Pelodiscus sinensis: one gene and its partner. The protein of the gene in region 1 binds, or shares a complex with, the protein of each later gene. Links are inferred from orthologs where the notes say so. Each region holds a gene or a part of one and is shown on either strand. Other genes may lie near its edges. The genes, in order: SLC9A1 and calcineurin B homologous protein 2-like.

Region 1 (11,579 bases):
CAATTTTTCAGTTGTGTTGACGTACCCCCCAGACTTCTCTCAAGTACCCCTAAGGGTACTCGCACCACTGGTTGAGAAACACGGATCTAGAGAGTGGTTGGGCCTGCCAGGAGGGCAAGGGACTGGACTCAACCTCTCAGCATCCCTTCCAATTCTTGTATTCTATGATTTTATGAAAATTCCCTTTTAATAAACTAGAAGATTTACCCAGCATTGCTCAGGTCCTTAACTCAATTCACTTTTGTTTTTCTTCATTTATATCATTGCTCTGGGGGGGGGGGGAGGGAGGCTGGGAATAGGGGGCTCAGTATCCAGGTTTCCCTGGGAAGAGGGGACTATCCTAACCCTCTCTCTCCACAGCAGCATGGGGCCATGTGAAAAGTGACTCTCCATGACCATTGCAGCTCCAGCAGCGAGAGAGGAGCAAGCTCCCTGGCTAGGGCAGGTCCAGGTTTCCCTGCCCCTTGCCGGAGTGAGAAATACAGGAAATTGTGCATTTTCTCCTCACTCAGTGACAACAGGAAACAGCCAGCAATGTTCCCATACGAATTGGGGAACAGCTTCCCCCCTAAATGGCACCTGGGAGGGAGGGAGGCCGGCCATGCCCCCCAGCCAGCCTCTTTCATCTGCCAGGTGATTCTGTCTCTTTTCTGTATGGTTTTAGGAGACGCAATCCCATTCTGGGAATGTCCCATGTTCCTGGTACAATCAAACCCTGACCTTGCCTTAAGTTATGATACGAGGAAGCTGGATACGGAATTTAGTGGTCCTTGCTCTTGTTTAGGGAGGAGTTCTCGAACAAACAGTTGGACAAACTCTCTCAAATATACTGTAGATAAGTCAGCCTCAGTCCTAACTTCAGGTGCTAGGACTTGGCGAGCCAGCAATAATTCCCATCTACGTGGCTGGTGGAGATCCTGGCCACCAGTGCGGTTGTGTTACACTAGCGCTCACTTCCACACTAGAGCTCACTTCCAGAGCTGGTTACATTCTCACAGGCCGTCAGGTAACTGAAGTTTGCCAGATAGCGGCTCCTTGAAGCACGTCACCAGAAGAGTGCTCCAAGGTCAGCCACTATGCACGTGCCTGAGATTCCAAGGAATCAGGTGCCTCAAGATTGGGCCGTTAGCCCAAGCACGTAGGACACTGCGTCGCTTGCAATGTTGTTTTGGGACAGATTAAACCACCACACAAAGATATCACAAGGAAAACGATGCTGGGTGAGGCTTACTGGTAACCAGTTCACCGGCGCCTGTCCTGAGCAGCCCCTGCCCACGGTACTCCAGCCTAACTGCACCATGGGCGGGGGCTGCTCCAGTGCCCCCCCCCCCGACCCATGGCATGACAAAGTGGGCCAGCTAACCAGATAAATATATAGTTTAGCCAGTTAACATTTTACAGGGGATTTTACGTCTATAGCAGAAGCTGCTTTGTGCTGCAGCCTCTGCCTAGACACTGTAGATCACTCTGATAAATGAAGATGCTCACAAAAGAAGGCAATCAGCAAACCTACTGGAAATTAGAAATGCGCTAACCCCATTTCCCACCTTCAGCACGTTGCATTTCCTTACAGGGAATTTCTGCCGCATGTCATGGCGCTTTTCACACCAGTTTCTCCAGGCGCACTTTGTGACTGGCATGCCATTTGTGACTCTGGATTAAAGTCAGGTTCTGTGAGGCTAAAGGCCAGAACCACCACCAGCACCCCCTTCTACCAGCAGCTGCATAGAGGTTTCTGATTTCTCCACCCAACAGAGTTAAGGAAGATGATAAATGCAGCCCAAAAACTGGACTCCATTACTCTAGTTACTTAATATATGGACTAAGGGCCAGCTGAGGGGGGACTGGGCTATGAAGTGAAAAGCAACAGTGTTGCTCATTAGTCTGGCACCTTCTTCTAAGGATATTTAAGGTCACCTGAAAAGACTTTCCCAGAAAATGTCGGAGTGAGAGGGAAAGACAAAACCCAGGAGTTCCAATTCTCAACACCAGCTCTTACCACTAGATCTTACACAGACACACACAAGGAAGCCTTCTGGGCCTAAATGTTAACACTTATATTCCTAGTTTCAAATAAGAGATTGAGAGGCCTACAGAAGAGTCTTAAAGAACGTTCATATCTACACACACACTCCCATCTAGACCCAAGTTTTCTGGGGGAAAGACATTTCTATAATCTCAGGCCATGATCAGCAGTTTACATTGAATTACCAGTCTAGGGATGTAACAGTGTAGTCGATTAACCAATAAGCAAAAGCTTGGTTAATGCTATAGACCACACACATTTCCCTTCCCCACACCTTGCCAGTAATTAGCCTGGTTCGGTCCTGGCTTTCGACTGGTCTGGGACCTATGCCTGTTGCGGCTCTGCATTTAATGTACGTTAGGAGCCAGGTGGCCAGGCAACTCAGCTCTGTTCTGGCTTGCGCCAAGTCCGGAAGCTCAGACCCCTCCACCCCGACAGGGGTTACTACCACCCTGCGCTGCTGTCTCTGTATCAGAGGCAGTCGTGCGGGGCGACAGGCAGCCAGTCCATGAAGGGAGCGGGTTTTTAAACTGGCTCCCCTCACAGACCAGCTCCCACCTGGCACCCTGCGCTGATGTCTCTGATACAAAGGCAGCAGCATGGAGTTGAAGGAGATTCCTCGGCTGCTGGCCCCACCCCGAGGGACTACAGAATAGTCAAGTAACGGATAAGAATTCATGAGGTTACGCGACTATTCAATTAACCGATATTTAACATTCCTACACCAGTCAAGGCCTTGCGGTCGGTTACACCAGAACCTTTAGAACATTAGACAACAGTCAGAGCCAATCATGAGGTTTCCCAGGGCAAGCACCACTCTCTCTGTCAGCACTCAGAGGCTAACTAGGAGCCTGGCATAAGAGTCAGCGCATTACAGAGTTCCCGAGAACCTGTAGCAGTGTTAAGTGTAAAATAATTAATGGTGAAAATCAGGAAGGGAATAAAGGAAATGCAGATCTCTTCCCCCTCTCTCACATAACCATCCCAAAACAGGAACAGGCAAATGCTTCATCTGCGCTTTAGGCATTACCACATAATACAGTATAAGCAAGCATCACCAGCTGCCCAGTGGCCAGTTTGGCCCCTGCGTGACACCAAAGCCAGTTTTGACATGGGATAGGGCCCTGCGTGCTCACATCACATTCTCGGAGAATTCAACAGGTATCAACCCTGCTAAAGAAGTCCTAAGAAATCTGCTGTCAGAAACTCAGTACACCAGAGCCGTTCAGGGTAGTTAGTCATCTCTCCAGGGGATCTAGATACTCAGGCACCCAAACATTCCGAGTACTGAACACCTCACAATCCTTAATATATTTATCCTACAACATGGTTGAGAAAGAGGAATGTGGTTCAGATGGGAAACTGAGGCACAGAGCTACTAAGTGGGGCTTGCTTAAGCTCTCAGGTAGGTCAAGAAATTGAATAGAAATTTCCCTGGTCACAGGGCAGAGCCCTAACCCTTGGGCTATCCTTCCTCTTTAGGGAGGATCAGCAATAATAGGGAACAAATGATTGTTAAAAGAGTCATATGAATTTCTTTATAACAGAACAGTCAACAGAAGCCACTTTGATAGCATATTTCATCCAAGGATCTCTGAGAGCTTTACCAACAAATCTTATAAGTGCGAAGTGTGTTTACATTTTACAGACCAGAAAGGTTGAGTAACTTCCCCAAGATCACAGAGTGTCCCTAGCCTGTTTGGCAGAAGCAGGCAATGGGCAACAGGAGATGCACCGCTTGATGAGTACCAGTTCTGTTTATCCTCTCTGGGCCACCTGGCATTGACCATTGCTGGAAGGCACTATGGTGGTCAAGATGGACCTACAATCTGTCCACTCTTATGGGATACTCATCAGGAAGAGAGCCCAGACCTCCCAACTCCTAAACCTGCAAGTTTGGGCACTGCCCCATGCCCCCACCCGGCATGCAGAAAAGTGGTGCCAACGTACCCAGTTTCATGAGGCATGCCAGCAGTATCCAAAGGGAGATCTCAAAGGGGATCCGCACATGGGTGTAGTCAATGCCCAGGACCGGGAAGGCTTTCCGCGGCTTGGAGTGCCCAGGGCTGGAGTGGTTGGTCAGCGGGCGAATCTCTTGGGAGACGTCCGGAGGAGCTGCGGTGACATCCCCGGGCTCAATTGCACTGAGGACTGCGGGGTCGCGGTAGGGCGGCTCGGAGGTCAGCATGTGCTGCAAGCCATGGCTGTGAAGCAAGGGCAGCAGACCCAGGAGAGCTGCCACAATGAACAGGAAGGGCAAAGCGCGGAGGGAAGGGACACGGCGGCCGCGCCTCGCCTGCATCTTTCCCGGGCCCCGCTAGCTCAGAGGCAGCCTGTTCCACAGCGCGTCATGGGCAGCGCAAAGGCGCCGCTGCAGAGGGGACGGGAAGGGAGGAGGGGACCGGGCCACACGCATGCAGCGCTCGCTTCCCCCCCAGGCGAGGATTTTAAAAAAGAGCCCATAAGACCAGAACCGAGCCGGCGGGCAGGAAAGCGAGAACCCTGCGGAACCACGGGCACGGCACCCTCCCCGCCAGGCTCAGGAAAGCGGCGAGAGGGCGCAGCAGCAGCCGCCCCGGCGCGGGCAGGGCGGGGGCCCCAAGGTGCAGCAGCAGCCCCCGGCCAATCGAGGGAAGGTGCAGAAGCAAAGGACTGGCGGGGGGAGGAGACAGCTGGAGCCGCCCCGCTGCAGACACGCAGGGTGCAGCCCGGAAAAGCCGGTTCCCCTTGGCTGGGGAAGGGCTCGCCCAGGTTCCTCCCTCCGGCAGGGGAGGGCTGGCGGCCCGCCCCGGGGCTCCCCGCTGCTGCGGGCAGGGGGGCTCGTCCCGCTCCGCGGAGGGTGCCAGGGAGCGCCGCCGCGCAGCTCTGCTCTTCCAGCCGCGCTCACTGAGCCCCCTGCCCGGCCGGCTCCCAGCCTTATAGCCGCCGAGCCAAGGGCGCGGGGAGAGGCAGGCAGCGGCCGAGGCTCCACCGCAGCCACAGCAGCACCCACCGGCCGGGAGCAGCACTGCACAGGGTCCCGCAGCCGGGCCCGCGGCTGGCCCGGCCCTAACCCGACCCACGTGGCGCGCAGGTTTCTTGGGGCCCCTCCCGCATCCAGTGCGCGCGCGCTCCCCGGGCCGCTTTTGCCGGCCCGGCCCCGCTCGCAAGGGACGGGCCGGGAGGCGCAGCGTTCGGTGCGGGAGAGCGCCCCCCTCTGTGCGGAACGCGGCCACCTCTCTGAGGAGTAGGTGGTAGCAGCCCCTGAGCAGCAGTGCGAGAGGGGAGGAGTTTGTAGCAAAGGGCCGTGGGACAAAATCCAACTCTTAGGAAAACTGCTGTAGGGTCATTAATGGAGCCGGAGGAGGGAGGGGAGCCGCGGTTAGGAGCGCTCCGCTAGAGAGACAGACAGATAACATAAAACAGACAGGAGCTTAGACCAGGTCTCATTCAAACAACTTGTTTGCGCAGCGCAAGCTCCCTGGAAGTCAAGTTCCAGCATGTACATAAAATAAACTCGGCCAGGCAATTCATGCAGCAAAGCACACCCAGGAACCCTGGACGTTGTGAAAGCAAAGCCAACCCAGGGAATATAGACTCTGTTTTAATTTAGTTTTTATGCATGTGTACCGGTAGAAGAGAGATTTACTACCAAAAATGCAGCCAATACAGACATGGCCAAACTTTAAGACCTACACAGCTTCTTGGGACCAGATTTTTAAAAAGATGTATTTAGGCGCTTAAAGACTCAGGTGCTTTTGTAAATCCTACAAGGATTTACAAAAGCACCTGACTCCCATTGGAGTTAGATGCTTAGGTCCTTTTGTAAACTCCCACTTGGTGCTTATCTGTATATTTAGGCACCTAAATACATTTACAAATCTGGTTCTTGGTTGTAAATTCCCGTCAAAGAGTACCAGAAATATTGCCCTGTAAAATAAAACCATGGGAGTAACATGAGTCAGCTGATGTGAACTTTATTCCTGGCTCTGCCATTGAGCTTACTCCACTCTTTTGTATTGTTTTAGTGGCAAAATACACACATTTATTTGCTAAATGTAAAATGGGGAGAATATGTCCATCCTTCACGAGGGGGTGGTAGGATAAACATTATAATTTTTAAAAACAATGACTAGTCCTGTGGCAACTTAGGGTATGTCTACACTACCCCCCTAGTTTGAACTAGGGGGGTAATGTATGCATACCGAACTTGCTAATGAAGCCCGGGATTTGAATTTCCCGGGCTTCATTAGCATAAAGCCGGCGCCGCCATTTTTAAAAGCCGGCTAGTGCGAACCCCGTGCCGCGCGGCTACACGCGGCACGGACTAGATAGTTCGGATTAGGCTTCCTAATCCGAACTATCTGTACGCCTCGTTCCACTATCTAGTCCGTGCCGCGTGTAGCCGCGCGGCACGGGGTTCGCACTAGCCGGCTTTTAAAAATGGCGGCGCTGGCTTTATGCTAATGAAGCCCGGGAAATTCAAATCCCGGGCTTCATTAGCAAGTTCGGTATGCATACATTACCCCCCTAGTTCGAACTAGGGGGGTAGTGTAGACATACCCTTAGAGACTAACAAAAATATATAGGATCATGAGCTTTTGTGGGTAAAACCCACTTCATCAGATGACTTGGAGTGGAAATAACAGAATACAAGATAATAACAGCAAAAGTAGTTACCTGTCAATTGTAGGGCCTGTGTTAATGAAGCTAATTAAGTAGACTAAATGTGGCCCATTCATAGCTTTAGATGTGAAAATGCAAATATCAAAGGCAGGGGAAACTGGCTTTATAGTGCATTAACCAATTAAGATCTTTATTCAAGCCAGGTTGACAATGTCAGATTTGTAAATGAATTCCAGTTCAGCAGACTCTCTCTGCAAATGGGTGGTACAATTCCTTTGTAGAAGAACGGCTACTTGTAAATCCATGATTGAATGTCCAGGCTTATAATGTTCCCCTACATTCCTGATGTCTTATTTGTGTCCATTTATCCTTTGTCGCAGAGACTGTCTGGTTTGGCCAATATACATGGCAGACGGGCATGGCTGGTCCTTGATGACATACATCATATTTATGGATGTGCAGTTGTATGAGCCGTGATATGGTTAGGTGTTGTGATGATGTTCCTTGTATAGATATGTGGACAGAGTTGGCAGTGGGGTTTGTTGCGGGGTAGGCTCCTGGGTGAATGTATCTGAGGTGTGGTGTGTGACTGCTCGTAAGTATTTGCTTCAGGTAGCAGGAGATTGTCTGTAGGAGAGGATTACCTTGTCTCCCAAGATCTGAGAGAGCAAGGGATTATTTTCCCAAGATAGGTTGTAGATTGTCAGAAGGATGTGACAGGCTAGTCAACTATCCAATAAGCAAAAGCTTATTGAATAGTTGAGTAGACTAGTCACTTCCCCACCTTGCTGCCTCTATCAGATAGAGGCAGCAAAGGAGGAAGAAAGGGTTTCTTCAAAGGGGCAGCCGTGTGCAGCTGAGCCCAGGCTCAGCTGTGTGGCATTGCCCCTTTGAAATGCCAAGGCGGCGTTTCAAGGTGGCACTGTGGAGCTGGGGACTCCCCAGCTGATCCCAGGTTCCACTGAAATCCCAGGTTCCACTGAAATGCCCAGGTTCCACTGAAATGCCACGGAGCTGAACTCGGGCTTCGTACCGCATTTCAAATCGGCAGCACAGCATGGAGCCCAGGGTGAGCAAGCTCCATGCTGTGCAGCTTTGAAATGCACAAGAACCCCGCTGGGGACTCTTGTGCATTTCAAAGCTGGCACGTCATGTGCAGCCCAGAGTCAGTAGGGGCTCTTGTACATTTCCAAGGAGGAATGCAGAAGTGCCTATTGACTAATCAAATAGTCAATGGAAATTCCATCAACTACTCGACTAGTCAGTAAGTGCAATTTAACATCCTTAGATTGCCATTCGTGCACTGGAGGGGTTTAAACTGGGGGCTGTAGGTGATGACCAGAGATGTTCTGTTAATTTCCTTATTGGGTCTGAAGTAGGTGACTTCCAGGTACTTGTCTGGCTCTGTCAATCTGTTTCCTCACTTCCCCGGGTGGATATTTAAGCTTTAAGAATGCTCGATAAAGATCATATAGATGTTTGTCTCTGTGGGATTTAGAGCAAATCTGGTTGTATTTTAGGGCTTGGCTGTAGACAACTGATCGTGTGATATGACCTGGATGGAAGCTAGAAGCATGTAGGTAAGAACAATAGTCAGTAGGTTTCCAGCAGAGGTTTATGTGACCAGCATTTATGTGTACTGTAGTGTCAAGGAAGTGGATCTCTTGTGAGGACTGGTCCAGGCTGAAGTCAATAGTGGGGTGGAAATTGTTGAAATCCCTTCAAGTGTCTCCTTCCTGTGGGTCCATATGATGAAGATACCATCAATGTAGTGTAAGTAGAGGAAGGGTGCTAGCTGAGGAAATGTTGTTCTAGGCCAGCCATAAAGATGTTGGCATATTGTGTGTACCCTTAGCAGTGCCACTGACTTGAAGGTATAAATTGTCCCCAAATCGGAAATAGTTGTGGGTGAGGACAAAGCCACATAGCTCAGCTGCCAGGTGTGCTGTGGCATCATCGAGGATCATGTTCCTGACCGTTTGTAGCCCACCCTCATGTGAAATGTTGGTGTAAAGAGCTTCTACATTGATGGGGGCCAGGATAATATTTTCAGGAAGATTACTGATGCTCTGTCGTTTCCTCAGACAGTCAGTGGTGTCTCGAAGATAGCTAGGAGTGCTGGTAGCATAGAGTCTGAGGAGAGAGTCAACATAGCTGGATAATCCTGCAGTAATGGTGCCAATGCCTGAGATGATGGTACATCCGGGATTTCCAGGTTTATGGATCTTGGGAAGTAGAGAAAATACCCCTGGTTGGGGCTCTGGGAGGGTGTTTGTGTAGATTTGGTCCTGAGCAGTAGCAGGGAGTTTCTTGAGCAGATGGTATAGTTTCTTTTGAGATTCCTCAGAGGGATCAAAAGAAAGAAGCCCGTAGAATGTGGTGTGGGCAAGTTGTCTGGCAACCTCCTGTTTGAAATCTGACTTTGTCATGATGACTACAGTCCCCTCTTCCCCACCGCCCCCGTCAGCCTCCTTGATTATAATGTCAGAGTTATTTTTGAGGCCACGGAGAGCATTGCGTCCAGCATAGCTGACGTTGTGTGTCATGTGATGTTGTTTGTTCACAATGCTGTGCACGTTTGTGGCAGCAATCAGTGTAGAAGTCCAGAATGTCATTTCAACCATCTTCCATGTAGAAATCTTCATGTAGGGTTCGTAGAAGGGATCCTGTGGGTCAATGCAATGTTCAGTGATGTGTTGGAAATATTCCTTCAGTCAGAGGTAGGGATGTAAGTGACTAGTTGACTATCCCATAAGTGTAAGCTTACCGGATAGTCAACTAGTGATGTGACTAGTTGCTTCCCCTCCTTGCTGCCTCTGTCAGAGAGAGGCAGTGAGGGAAGGGAGCAGGAGCCGGTGCTGGGGGGAGCCGGCTTAAAAGCTGGTTTCCCCCAGCACTGTCTCCGCAGGGAACAGGGGAGGTAGAGGCACAGCAGGAAACAGTGTGAGTGGGGAATGAAGTAATCTCCACTCACACTGGTTCTGCTGCAATTCTGCTTTTGAACTGCACAAGAGCCCCAGCAGGGTTCTTGCTACCGTTGAAAGACGGAGGCACCCTTATCGACGAAAAGTCAATGGAAATCCCATCGACTATTCAATCAGTTAATTAATTGAAATTTAGCATCCCTAGTCAGAGTCAGCGAAAATAGGCTTCCAGGTCACTGCAGAACTGTATCATGTTTGTGGGGGTGGTGAGGCAGAGAGTCCCCAAGATACCACAGACTCTTCTGCCCGGCTCAGTGTGTGGTTGGATGGATTAACAATGTTAGGTGAGTTGAGGGTACCGGAGTAGTAGTACCCTGTGGCGTGTAGGAATTTAGATAGTTTATTGGCCTTTTTCTTCTGTAGGGAAGTGGAATGAGCATTGTAAGTGGCTTGTCTAGTTTTTGTAAAGTCCAGCCACATGGAAGTTTGTGTGGAAACTTGTTTTTTTTATGAAAGTCTCTAGATAAGAAAATGCTTATCAGATAGTTGACAGGATAGTCGACTACAGGAGACCCCCGCTTTATGACGGCCTGATTTACGATCCCCCGCACTTATGACCTTTTCTGTAAGTGTGGAAGGGGCCAAAATCCCACGATTTACATCCTTGGCCCCGCAATTACGATGGCGTATGACACCTTTCGTAAATGTGGGCTCGAGTTACAACACCCCCAACTTGCAACGCTATTCCCGGAACCAATCGCATCGCAAGTTGGGGGCAGCGTATAGTCGCTTCCCCCACACCTTGCTGCCTCTATCAGATCGAGGCAGCAAGGGGGGGAGAAGCGGGGATACTCCAAAGCAGCAGCGCTACACGGAGCCCAGGGTCAGCTGCTCTGTGCAGTGCTGCCACCTTAAATGCGACGGGGAGCCCAGCACCAGGCTCCTCATGGCATTTCAAAGCAGCAGCATCACGTGGAGCCTGGGATCAGCTGGGCACTGTCCCCGGGCTCCATGCGGCACTGCCACTTTGAAACACTGCCACATTTTGATTTTCTCCTGTTTGTTGTATAGGATGCTGATTGGGTGGTTCTTCAGTTTCTTTGAGTGTGTGGCATAATCTCTCACTGTAGTCCATGTAGTATGTGGATGATAATGGATTTTTCTCTTTCAGTCCATTGGGTATGATGTTCATTACTTTGCACTTGTAGAGGAATATGATTTTTGTTTGTATCTGTCCACATTTCTCTATAAAGTTGATGGATTTCCAATTCAAACGGCTAAATGAAGTCCCTTGCACGGTAAAAAGTCTTAGGGGGTACCTGGGTTAGTCTGTAACTTTAAAAGCAATGAGTAGTCCTGTGGCACCTTAGATACTAAGCTTAAAGGCACTCACATACTCTGGGAATAAAGCAAATCCTCAGATTGCAACACTCCCACTGAAGCAAACCAGAGACCCATGCATAGCAGATTGAGGACCTTGGATTTTACCTGAATCGTCTTTGTTTTAAATTTCCTCCCAGCATAATGTGCTGCTGTTGAGACTGAAGACAAGAGGAGAGATGAACACTGGGCAAGGAGGAACTGAGTATCACTGAAGAATACGTTGCTCAACAGATCCTTACTCCAGAGTGGGAGGACTAACGGTCTTGAGTTACTCAAGAGAACCAACAAAGAATAAACCTGACTAATCTATGACTAGAAAGAGGAGAACTGTTCAAATGAATCACGAGTCTGAACAGGAACAACCAGATGTGCTAACATCTTACTTCTGCTTGAATACATTCTAGACAAGCAAATTCATCAGCAAGAAAGTCCTGGGCTTTATATTTACCTATAGGAAGGACTTTGTCACATGCTCCTGAGTAGGGGCCTATGCCTGAACTATTAACCATAAGGCTGTGTCTACACTGACCAGTTATTCCGGAAAATAAACCGCTTTTCCGGAATAACTTGCCAGCTGTCTACACTGGCCGCTTGAATTTCCGGAAAAGCATTGACGATCTAATGTAAAATCATCAGTGCTT
Region 2 (12,000 bases), on another chromosome or scaffold:
GGGACCCCCCGAGAGCTAGAACTGACTGGCTCTGGGGAGCTCTGGGGCTGGCCACACTGCCCCAGGGACTCACAGGGTAGGGCAAAGCAGGCAGCCTTGGGCTGGCACAAGCTCCAGGTGGAAATTCACGGCCAGGGCCGAGGTTTTCCAGTTACTTTATTGCTTAGCCGACCGGCAGAGTGAATCCAAGCAAACCCAGTCCCGACAGCGGGAGACTTTGGGCCCAGTTCCCAGGCACGCTGAGCCCCCAGTGCGCATCCCTGGCTGCGGTGCGTAAGGGCCCTGCCTCCCGGCACAGGGGTCAATGGGGGGCGCGCTCCCCCGGCCCGAGAGGGGTAGAGTGTGAGGTAGAGCAGCCCCGAGGCTGCTCTAATTGGCCATTGGCCAGCCTCCCAGCAGGCTCTTTGTCAGCACTGAAATCCGATTGGCTGCAGCCCTTCTTCAACCCGATCCAGCCCAGACAAGGGGCAGAGGTGAAATCGGATTGGACGCGGCTCTTCTCCATCCGGAACTCTGCCGAGGCAAGGAGGTGGAGCTGAAGTACGATTGGATAGGACGAGAAGGCGGGGCTGAAAGCTGATTGGTTGCTGCCCCCTCCGGTGCAGAGTGGCCGGCAGGGGGAAGATCGGAGCCGGACGGGTCATTTCAGCATCCGGAGGCTCATTCTCTGCTCGATGTTCAGCTTCTCCACGGACTGCGGGGAGACGAGGGTGTCGGACACGCGGACAGGCCTGGGCCAAAACGCTCTGCCACCCAGGACCACCACCGAGGGCCCTGGGGGGCTGGCTACATGGTTAAGGCTCAGAGCTGGGACTCAATTCCCCGTGCCTCGGTTTCCCTTCCTGTACAACTGGGATAATGGTCCTTCCATGGTCTCACTAGACCGTGAGCTCTTTGTGTCTCACTATGTGTGTGCATCCATGTAGCACCCATCACGATGGGGCCCTGATTGGTTGTAGCCCCAAGGGCTACTGTAATGCACCTAATAATCCATCCTTCACCCTCCCCACCCTTCCAATATGCCTCACCCCTCCCCTCTAGATGATCAACCCCCCCGCTAACCCTCCCCAGTCTACACCCTGCTCCCCTGACCCCACCAGACCGTGGCAAACTCCTCGAAGGAGATGGCGCCGTCACCGTCCTGGTCGGCCTCCTGGATGGTGCGGTCGGCAATGCACGCCAGCTGCTCGTCTGTCACCTGGATGCCGACCATCAGCCGCAGCACCTGGAGGGGAGGAGTCAGTGATGGCCCCGCCCCTTCCCAGGCTGCCCCTGAGGGAGGGGAGGAGAGAGTCCGTCTCCCGGGGCCCTTGGGAGGAGGCGGGGGCAGCACCAGCCTCACACGTCCCCCTTGCACACTTGCTCTCCAGCCTCGTGTACATGCTCCCCCCAGCCCCGCACGCTCCCCAGCCCCTCGCACACACAGTACCTGCAGCATCTCGGCCCGGGAGATCTTCCCATCACTATCTTGGTCATAGAGCTGAAAAGCAACTGTACGACCAGGATTGGTGTCAGCGCTGGGATCAGAGCAGGGAAATGAACCTGCCACCAGCCCCAGCCTCCTCCTGCAGCCCCTTACAGCCTGCATGTTCCCATGTCCCCCCTACATATGTTGCCTGGATCCGTCTGTCTCCACCCCAAGCATTCCCCCACGTGCCCACCGCAGCATCCCTCCACATGTCTCTGCATTCCTCCAGGTCGGTTAGCTCCTTGGGTGCCCCCACCACACTGCCCCCCGCACTTCTCCACACCCAACACCCTGCTCACATGCCCTTCCCTCACCCCACATGAGCTCTGGCCAGCTGCCAGGGGTGCCTTCCCCTCCCCATTATGCCACATCTGGCGCCTCGTCCCCTTGTCACCAAGGGGCCCCGGTCACTTGCCTCAGCAGTGGGGTCGGGGATCCCCCTGCCTGCCCTGTTACTCACACTGCAGCTTGCTGAGTCGGCTGTTCATGGGCTCCGGGTAACCAGTCTCCTTGGACTTTCCTTCCTCCACGGGCCGGAAACGGGCCAGCACCCGCATGAAGGCTCGGAAATCGGTGAACTCCTCCCTGCAGCGGGAGACGCCACTAATAACTGATGGTAGGTGCAGCCGAGCACAGCTGGGAACGCAGGGCCCAGCGCTGAGCTGCTGCTGCCTTTGGGCAGGGCGCGGGGGGTTAATTATCCAGGGAGAAGCAGCCGCCTCTCAGGTGGGGCGTGGGGATTATTTATACTGGGAACCCTTGTCTGGTGATGAGATGCGACTGCCTCTGGGGTGGGGCACTAGGCTTGTGCACACATGGACCCCTTGTCTGGTGCTGAGATGCAACTGCCTCTGGGGTGGGGCACTAGGCTTGTGCACACATGGACCCCTTGTGTGGTGCTGAGATGCGACTGCCTCTGGGGTGGGGCACTAGGCTTGTGCACACATGGAGCCCTTGTCTGGTGCTGAGATGCAATTGCCTCTGGGGTGGGGCACTAGGCTTGTGCACACATGGAGCCCTTGTCTGGTGCTGAGATGCGACTGCCTCTGGGGTGGGGCACTAGGCTTGTGCACACATGGAGCCCTTGTCTGGTGCTGAGATGCAACTGCCTCTGGGGTGGGGCACTAGGCTTGTGCACACGGAGCCCTTGCCTGGTGCTGAGATGCAGCAGCCTCTGGGGTGGGGCACAAGGCCTGGTACAGGGGGATCCCTACAGCAAAAAGCAAAGGACTGTGCACTCAGCGCTGCGGAGTTCTGCTCTGCCCAGTCCCTGCACCATCCAGGCTCTGCCGGGTTCCCTGCCGTGCTCCGGGGCCTGTGAACGCCGGCGCCCCCCAGTGGCGCGTGACACGCCCTGCAGCCTGCATCCTCTCCCTGCCCCCGCCGTTGCTTGGTCTGGGGGGGGGGGGTGATGCTCGTGGCGCCGACTCACCCCTCCCTGAAGAAGGCGTTGATGATCCGGTCCCCCAGGGGGTTCACCGCCAGCGCCCCGATCCCCTGCAGGTCGTATTTGCTGTAGGGAGACAGGGCAAAGGTCGTGGCACGCCCCAGCTGACACTCGTAAGGGGCCCAAGACTGGTGGACGCTGCCTCTGGGGTGGGGCACGGTAGCTCTACCAGGATCCTGCACCTGATGCTGGGATGCAGCCAGCTCTGGGGAGCAGCATCCTTCCAGTGTTGAGATGCAGCCCCCTCGGGCGTGAGGCCAGGTGGTGGCAAATCCTGGGATCCCTCTCCCAGTGGGGAGACGCAGTCATCCCGGGAGCAGGGGCACGGCAGCCGTCCCATAGGAGGGACACCAGGGTCTGAGGGTTGTTCGTTGACTCCAGCTGGGCTGCGATAAGGGGCAGGGCCGGGTGCTCCAGGGTCCCGCTGGGTGCAGCCTGTGGGCGCCGTGGGGCCCGGCGGGCGCCATGGCTGAGCACCGCTGGGCACTCGTGCCAAGGTTCACACACCTGCGGAGAGCAGCCGCACCCGGCGCCTTTTCCCTTTCATGGCCGGGGAGACAGCCCCAGACCAGCGAGGCGGGTCCTTAGTGACCCGAGGCCATGGGGATGGGCCCCCGACCCTGGGCACCCGCAACTCACTCCTGGCATTACTCCAGGTTGGCACCAGGGTCTGGCCTGTCGCCTGCAGCTCCCCAGCGCATCCCTCCTGCAGGTCCCTGGGAGTAGAGAGCCAGGCCCCTAGAGAGCCACTGGGCCCAAGCCCCCTTCTTGAGGGGCTCAAACAGGGGAATGGGGGGACAGGAGGCAGCAAGAAGAGATTGAGCTCTGCTGGGGGGCAGCAGCTCAAGGAGAGGTGAGGGGTTCTATTCCAGGCTCTGACCTTGGGCCCCACCCCGTGCCTCAGTTTCCCTGCCCACCCTTTTGTCTGTCTCCTTGGATCAGGGGTTTCTCTCCGGCTGTGGCTGATCTCGGCTGCACTTCAGCCGCCACCCCCCCTCCCTGCCCCCGCTAATCACTTCTCCTGGCTCTCCAGACCTGACCCTGTGTCTGGTGGGGGCCAGTCTGTTCCACCAGGCCCATCAGAGACGTAGCCCGGCGCCCCACCCACCCAGGGCCTAGGTGCTGCCCAAATGATCGAATGTCAAAGCAGCCACAAAGGCCGGGACGGCCGACGCCTGCTCCCCTACCTGAGGGAGCCTTTCTGCGCCTTGTCCAGCGCCTGGAAGCGGGCGTAGAGGCGGGTGACGCTGGCCTGCGAAACTGGACACGAGAGCGAGAGCTGTAGCCGGGAGCGCCGATTCCCCCAGGTCTGGCAAGGGCCCCCGGGGCTGAACGTTTAGGGTATCGATGACTAAACCCCTCCCCCTTCCCCCCCTCTGGTTCACATTTAAGGAGATTTAAATCACAGCAGGGGATCCAGGGTTCCTAGTGCGAGGAAGAGCCGGCCCATTGAAAGCCCCTCCCCCGCTATATACAGGGTAGGGGCTTGGCTCGTTCACAGATGGGGAAACTGAGGCACGAGGCTGGGAAGTGATTCGCCCAAGGCGACACACCGCCCATCAGTGGCAGAGCACTCACGAGTCCTGACTCCCCCCTTGCTCTGACCACTAGACCCCAGTCTCCACCAGAGCTGGGACGAGAACCCAGGGGTCCCAATTCCCAGCTCTACCCAAGAGATCCCCTTCCCCTCCCTGATCCAGGGGTAGAACCCAGGAGTCCTGCTCTAACCATTAGACTCTTCTTCCAGAGTGGAAGACAGAGCCCAGGAGTTCTGGCTCCGCCCCCCTACAGCTGGGGGACCTATTAGCCCAGCCACAGGCACCTGTCACACTAGGCTCCTAGCGCGAGCGCTGCCCCTCAAGTCGGCTTTCACGCCCCACGAGCCGGGCTGGATTCGAACCCCAGCCTAGACCACCCAGAGCGGGAACCAGCCACACCCCAGGGCTGCTGCAGCGCCTGGCTGGGACACCTGTTCAAGGCTTCACCCCCCCCCCCCCGTACGTCGCAGGGCCCCGGAGGCGGCTCCTCCGTCCCGCTGTGGGGCCAGCTCCCACCCCTGGGCTCTGAGGGTTCTCCACCAGGGGCCTCCCTGGGTGTGTGGATCTGGCATTAGGTGCTTCTCCCAGCTGTCGTGGGGCAAACGGCCGGAGCACCCTGCGGGGTGGCGATTCCCTGCCCCCTAGGGACCAGGGACTGGATGGGCCTGAACAGTCTGGGGAGCGAACCTGTCTGCTTGGTCAGCCCCTCCTCTCCACCCACCAACAGAGCACCCAGGCCACGGTCCCCAGGGGCCAGGCCAGGCGGGGGAAACTGAGGCCCCTTTTTTTTTTACTGGGTGACTTGCTGTGGGGCTGCACAGCTGGCCAATAGCAGAGCCACGCAGGAGCCCTGGCTGACTCCACAATCGCTGTTGGGATCACAAAACCCCACCCTTTCTGCAGCCAGAGTCCTGGCTCCCAGCCTCCCTGCGCTAGCCGACTCCCCCCAGCCCTGCCTCCCCCGTTTGGGGGGAACCCAGGAGTCCTGGCGCCCACCCTCCCTGCGCGAGGCCACTCCCCCCAGCCCTGCCTCCCCCCAGTTTGGGGGGAACCCAGGAGTCCTGGCGCCCACCCTCCCTGTGCAAGGCCACTCCCCCCAGCCCTGCCTCCCTCCCCCAAGTTTGGGGGGAACCCAGGAGTCCTGGCGCCCACCCTCCCTGTGCGAGGCCACTCCCCCCAGCCCTCCCTCCCTCCCCCCAGTTTGGGGGGAACCCAGGAGTCTGGGCTCCCTGTGCTTTGGCAGCACCACACACACAATTTCTTCTCCCCTTCAAACAGAGGCCACCGCATGCAGGGCAGGTCCTTGGGGCCAGTGCTACCAGGCCGCCCAGCCCTGTCCAGCGCAGGGGCCCTGCCCCACCTGGCCTGCAGCCTCGGGGCACCAGGGCAACCGCCACCCCCTTTGTTCCTGCCTTTGCCAACTTTAGGGTTGCCCGACCCCCTCCCCACCCCGCAGGTCCCTTACAGCCCGTCTCCTGCATGATCTGCTCCAGATTGGGGATCGCGGATGGGTGGGAGCTCTGAGAGCCCATCTCTCATGCCGTCAGGCCTCGCCGGGATCCCCCCACTGAGCGAGGGCAGGGACCAGCCAACTTTCCCTGGATCCAACTTTTCCTGGCAGCCCACATGGGAGCTGGAGTGACTGGTGGGACAGCCAATCAACCCCTGGCAAAGGAGGGCCTTGGACTAGCTGGGCTGGTTCCTTTAAGGTGGATTTTCCTTCTCTCCGCCCAGGCAATCATAGGGAAACAGGGAAGTGGCTCCTTTGTTTGTTTTTAAAGTGTCCAGGTTGGGGGGGGGGTGGGGAGCTGAGCATTTCCCACGCCAAGGCCTTTCCACACCGGCTGATTGTCCGCACTGGGGCAGGGCGTGACTGTTTATACTGGGCCCTCCGGCCTAGCCCTGAAGTGCAGCCACCTCTGGGTTAGGGCACGACGGCTGTTTACACGGGGATCCCTCACCCAGGGTGAGATGCGCCCACCTCTGGGGCAGGGCACAGCAGCAACGCATTATAAAGGGATCACATCACACAGGGCTGAAATGAAGCCACCGCTGGAGTGAAACAGGGTGGCTTTTTATACATTCCTGGCCTGGCTCCTTGGCCTCACGTGGAAATGTAGATGCCCCTAGGGCAGGGCAGGGCGGTTGTTTGTACAGAGATCTTCACCCTGAGCTGAGCTGCAGCTGTCTCTGGGGTGCGGCACAGCTGCTGTTTGACAGCCAAGCTCCCATGCTGAGTCACATTTTATGGCAGGTGAAGGGTGATAAGGAAGCAGAATCCAAGAAAAAGCAGGAATTTAAGGAGGGCCAGATCAATATTGATACAACGGCAGGAAGCGGTGGAGCCTCAGTTTCCCTTTTCTTACTGCAGTCCCTCCCCCCAGCTCTGTCCCCACCCCCGCCCCAGGTGCCCAGCCCGAGGGTCGGGTCACCCCCCAAAATCACCACCAAGGCACTCAGAGCGGCCGTCCCAGCCATCTGCCACCAGAGGGTGCTGCCGGATTGCAGGAGTCACGTGGATTTAGGGGAGGCTCAGGTGTCTGGTGTCTGACCCCCAGCTGGCCCTGGCCTGACCCAGACAGTCCCCATCTCAGGATCTAGGGCCCAGCTCTGGGGCCTGAGCCCACAGTCACTGCCTCCTCCAGCCCACGGAGGGGGAGAGGCCCCATAACCCATTCCCTGCCCCCCATCGCGTCAGCCGCCAGCCTGCCGTGTGGGGCTAGAGCAGCACTGGCACCCCTGGCCGGGGGGAGCCCTGGATCCCATTCCTGACCCTCTGGAGCCAGCCCCTCGCCTTCTGTGGGGCCAGACCGGATCCAGTATCTCCTAGAGGGGAAGGGCCCGTGTCTCACTCCTCTGGCCCCCCCAGTTTCTGCGACATGCTGACACCAAGGCTCCAGAGGGGAAGCCGGGCACAGACATGCCCAAGGGCATCAGCAGGACGCAGGCGGGAGACACAGAGCCCCTTCCACCCAGCTCGGCCTTGGGCCCACTCCCATCGCCCTGGCGGGCCCACCCCCATCGCCCTGGCAGGCCCACCCCCATCGCCCTGGCCAGCGGGTCAGGCAGGGAAGCAGGATGAGTCTCCGTGGGCAATAGGGAGACCCCCCCCCACTCCCAGGGGTGCAGAGAGCCAGGCAGGGTGTCCAGCTCTGCAAGGGGGGGTGCTCAAAAGGACCCCTTACAGTCCAGGATACAGAACCCTGGGAGCCCACTGACCCGCCCCTTTAAACTAAGACCAAGACCTCCCCTCCCCCCACCTCGCCTCTCCAGGAGATGCCCCTTTGCACCTGCTTTTAATAGCCCCATCAGCTGATTAACTTTGCTGGGGGTGGGGCGGGAGGGTGTCTTAAAGGCACAGGCGCTCATTTGCTCACCCGGGAGGGGGCTGAGGGGTGAGGCCAGGGATGAAGGGGTTTCTCTGGCTCCGCAAAGCCAAGCTCAGAGGGTGCCGGTTGGGGGGAGGGGATGGCAGGAGTGGGGGAGGGCGGAAGCAGGGGACCTGCAGAGAGGCTGGGACGCGGCTGGTTGGTCGATGGGTGGCGGACGGGCCATGCATGCGACGAGCTGGGCAGGTCTCAGCTGCCCCTGCACACGGCCAGTTGTCACCACTGGCCTGGACGGGCAGTGACCCCCCCCCTAAGAGAACTGACTGTGGGCCATGGAGACCCAATGCCCCCCTCCCCCTCCTTCTCCCCCTGCTTCCTAAGGTGGCTGTGGGGCAGGGGTATTGGGAGGGTTGAGCTTCCCAGCCCAGAGTCCTGACTCTCAGCTCCACTCCCGCTCTAACCACTAGATCCCACTCTCCTGCTCCAGACCTGGAGACAGAATCCAGGAGCCATCCCTGCTCTAACCACTAGACTCCCCGCCCCCCAGGGACCCTAGCACTGTTCTATGTCCGTATGTCTGTCCCCATCCCGGAGGGATGCTGGGCGCCTGGACAGGTTGCTACGCGGAGCCAGGGGGAAGCAGACGCAGAACAGAACAGGGAGCTCTTGCAAGCCCCTTGCGCCCTGAGCGATGGCTGGCCAGCAGGGGGCGGAGCTGAGCCATTGGGGGGGTTGCAAGATTGGGGTGGCGGGTCCCCCGCAGCCATGCCCACTTTGGGGACACCCAAGGGATCCCCCTCTACAGACACAGCAAGCTAGTCACTTTCCCCAGTGTGAAACTGCACGACAGGAGGGTCATAAAAACCCCCAATCTGCATCCAGCAGCTAACGTCCTGCTACTCCCAGGCCCCGGCCCTGGCTCTGCTGCCCGGGGCTGGGGCAGCCCAGCAGCCAAGTGCCCCCTGGGATGCCAGCTCCTTGGGCAGGGAATCTATAGCAGAGCCTGGCAACCCGACCCTAGGCTCCAGGTCGGGGATGGGGGGGCTGAAGACAACCCGACCCTCTGGGGGGTCTGCCCACCTCCTCCTCTTGCCTGGTGGTGCTGGCCACGCCGACCCCCGGGGCATGAGGTGGCCGGTGACGGACTGGCGGCCCAGGAAACCCGCCCCACCAAGTCTAGGTGGTAATGTCAGGACTGGCACAAGGGCAGGTGGGAAAATGTCACTGTTAGGGGTGAGTAGCGTGGCCTAGTGGGTAGGAACAGGCGTCGGGTCTGAGGTCAGAGCTGAAACCAGAGAGCAGGGGTCAGGTCTCTGGCCAGGGCACAAGACGGGAACAGCCCCTGAGCCCGAAGCCAGGGCCGTGGCAACAACAGGCCAGGTGGTGCCGACAGCTTCCTGCAGCCGTGGGGTGGGGCTGCCTTTTGGGCCTGGGCCCTGCCGCTCGGGGCCCCCGGGTGTAGCGGGCTGCTCCCAGCTGTCCGGGCGGGTGGGGTGGGTTCTAGTCCTCCAGACCCGGCTGCATTGGGCCCGAGACTGACCAGCTGCTCATGCGCATGACTCAGGCATGCAAAGGGGGCCCAAACGGCCCCTCAGTCCTGGCAGGGGCTGAGAAGCGCCAGGCTGAGAGCACGTGGTCCCTGTGCCGGTCAGCGCAGGCAGCTGCGTTCAGTAGCAGGGCCCCACTGGGCCCAAGGGCAGAGTTAAGGTCGTGGGGAGGGTGTTTACTATGGCTCTGTGTGTCCAGGCTGCAAGGGCCTGAGTGATCCTACGCCCCTGTAATTCCACCTTTACAATGTCCCTTTTGCTATTTAATACTCGTCCTCCCCTGCCTCTTCTCACCGGGCATCACAGCGAATGGCTGCCCGTAGCCAGCTCTGCCCACGTGCTGCCCCGTCGACTTGCAGAGCCCCGGCGAGGGCAGTGGTAGGCAGCAAGGGGGCGCCCATCTCTCCCCACGGGCCGGTGTTGCTCCCGCCTGCATCCTGTTTTGCTCAGCAGCCGGGCGGCCAGGAAGTTTACGCGTCTCGGTGCCTCGAGCGGCTTGTTTTGGTCCCTCACACCTGGCGCGGTGCCCGGGGCGGACTCCCTCCCCCCTGCCCATAACCCCCACTCACGGCAGCAGAACTCAGCCACTTCCTCCTCCGAGGCCGGACACTGCCGGCTCTCACGTAGTGCTGTGTGGGGTCTAGGACACACAGTGGAATAGTGCTGAGGCCAAGCAGCAGAGAGGTGTGTTGAACACACACACTCGCTCTCCTCCTCCAGACCCGGGACTAGAACCTAGGAGTCCTGAGCCCCCGTGGCTCTAACCACTAGACTCCCCGCCCCCCAAGCTGGATTGGAACCCAGGCGTCCTGCCTCGGCCCCCGCCCCTCAGAGCACAGCTGTCCCCAAGTGAGGCCCGGTCCCCCTCCCTCCCGCCGTGACCCTGTGCGGAGCTGACCCTGGGCCCGCTGGGGGGAAGCGGCCTAGCCGTGTGTTGACAGCTGCTGGCTGTAAAGCGCTGCCCAGGGGGCCAAAACTCTGTGCCCCTCACAGCTGCTGCTTCCCCACGGCTTCCCCATTAACACTGGCTTGTTTGGGGTCAGGGAGGTGAGGACACTTGGCTCCCGGGGGGTAGGAAACCTAAACAAGAGGCTCGGGGCAATCAAGCTACACGGCGCTTCAAGGAAGGGACCAGGGGAATTTGGGCATCACCAGCCCCAGCCCCAGCGCTGGGCAGAACACATCGGGCTCAGGCACGGCTCCTGCTCTAACCACTACCCCCTACTCCCCTCCCAAAGCTGGGAGCCCCAGCCTCCCCTGCTCTAACCACTACCACCTACTCCCCTCCCAAAGCTGGGAGCCCCAGCCTCCCCTGCTCTAACCACTAGCCCCATGCCCCCCCTTCACGAGGTGCACATAGTGCCCGGGTGTCCGCGCGTCTGCCCCCCCAGCCAGGAACGATTTCTACCCCCTCTGCCCCTAACCCATAGCTGCAAAGGCTACCTGGAGCTCAGGGACTTGCCCACGGCTGGGGTGGGGGAGACCCCAGCCCTGCAATCACCTGATGAACCAGCCCCCCATACCCGGCAGACTCACCCCACCCCCCGCCCCCCAGGTCAGAGGAACAGTCCTGTTCTCAGGCCATGGTTTCTCTGCATGCAGGATCCCAGCAGGTGAAGGCAGGACATGGGCAGGGGACTTGGGGAAGCACCTTGCTGGGCAGGTCAAGCCCCCCCCCCCCGTCCGTCTCCCTCCCTGCCCTTGACTCTGAGCCGGGTTAGGGTTGGTGGGTTATTCCATTTTAAAAAGCCTTAACCCCACCCCCGCTCCAACCATGGGACCCTTGTATGGCTGCCAGAGCTGCAGAGAGAACCCAGGAGTCCTGGCTCCCAGCCCCCTGCTCTAACCTCTAGTCCCCTCTCCAATCCCAGAGCTGCAGAGAGAACCCAGGAGTCCTGGCTCCCAGCCCCCTGCTCTAACCACTAGTCCCCTCTCCAATCCCAGAGCTGCAGAGAGAACCCAGGAGTCCTGGCTCCCAGCCCCCTGCTCTAACCTCTAGTCCCCTCTCCAATCCCAGAGCTGCAGAGAGAACCCAGGAGTCCTGGCTCCCAGCCCCCTGCTCTAACCTCTAGTCCCCTCTCCAATCCCAGAGCTGCAGAGAGAACCCAGGAGTCCTGGCTCCCAGCCCCCTGCTCTAACCTCTAGTCCCCTCTCCAATCCCAGAGCTGCAGAGAGAACCCAGGAGTCCTGGCTCCCAGCCCCCTGCTCTAACCACTAGTCCCCTCTCCAATCCCAGAGCTGCAGAGAGAACCCAGGAGTCCTGGCTCCCAGCCCCCTGCTCTAACCTCTAGTCCCCTCTCCAATCCCAGAGCTGCAGAGAGAACCCAGGAGTCCTGGCTCCCAGCCCCCTGCTCTAACCTCTAGTCCCCTCTCCAATCCCAGAGCTGCAGAGAGAACCCAGGAGTCCTGGCTCCCAGCCCCCTGCTCTAACCTCTAGTCCCCTCTCCAATCCCAGAGCTGCAGAGAGAACATAGGAGTCCTGGCTCCCAGCCCCCTGCTCTAACCACTAGTCCCCTCTCCTCTCCCAGAGCTGCAGAGAGAACATAGGAGTCCTGGCTCCCAGCCCCCTGCTCTAACCACTAGTCCCCTCTCCTCTCCCAGAGCTGCAGAGAGAACCCAGGAGTCCTGGCTCCCAGCCCCCTGCTCTAACCACTAGTCCCCTCTCCAATCC

Evidence for each region.
Region 2: the proteins of SLC9A1 (region 1) and calcineurin B homologous protein 2-like are in contact, whole or in part, in a crystal structure (PDB 2BEC), measured with the Homo sapiens proteins. The link is inferred for Pelodiscus sinensis from reciprocal best matches to the Homo sapiens genes SLC9A1 and CHP2. Residues at the interface, in NP_003038.2 of Homo sapiens: Ser517, Ile518, Asn519, Glu520, Ile522, His523, Thr524, Gln525, Phe526, Leu527, Asp528, His529, Leu530, Leu531, Thr532, Gly533, Ile534, Glu535, Asp536, Ile537, Cys538, Gly539, His540; in NP_071380.1 of Homo sapiens: Arg30, Arg34, Leu38, Leu51, Ile54, Ala56, Leu57, Asn60, Pro61, Leu62, Ile66, Phe70, Phe83, Leu87, Phe90, Tyr118, Ala119, Leu122, Tyr123, Met136, Val139, Leu140, Met143, Ile156, Arg159, Thr160, Glu163, Ala164, Phe177, Ser180.

Annotation. Positions count from the first base shown.
Region 1 is NC_134735.1:11,968,557-11,980,135, forward strand, and holds the start of SLC9A1 (sodium/hydrogen exchanger 1), read right to left. Parts: upstream 5,081-11,579; 5' UTR 4,329-5,080; coding exon 3,977-4,328; intron 1-3,976. UniProt on the Homo sapiens protein: Electroneutral Na(+) /H(+) antiporter that extrudes Na(+) in exchange for external protons driven by the inward sodium ion chemical gradient, protecting cells from acidification that occurs from metabolism.
Region 2 is NW_027465849.1:4,867,438-4,879,437, reverse strand, and holds calcineurin B homologous protein 2-like, read right to left. Parts: upstream 6,099-12,000; 5' UTR 5,986-6,098; coding exon 5,919-5,985; intron 4,176-5,918; coding exon 4,103-4,175; intron 2,982-4,102; coding exon 2,901-2,981; intron 2,054-2,900; coding exon 1,929-2,053; intron 1,492-1,928; coding exon 1,430-1,491; intron 1,226-1,429; coding exon 1,103-1,225; intron 695-1,102; coding exon 641-694; 3' UTR 138-640; downstream 1-137. UniProt on the Homo sapiens protein: Functions as an integral cofactor in cell pH regulation by controlling plasma membrane-type Na(+)/H(+) exchange activity.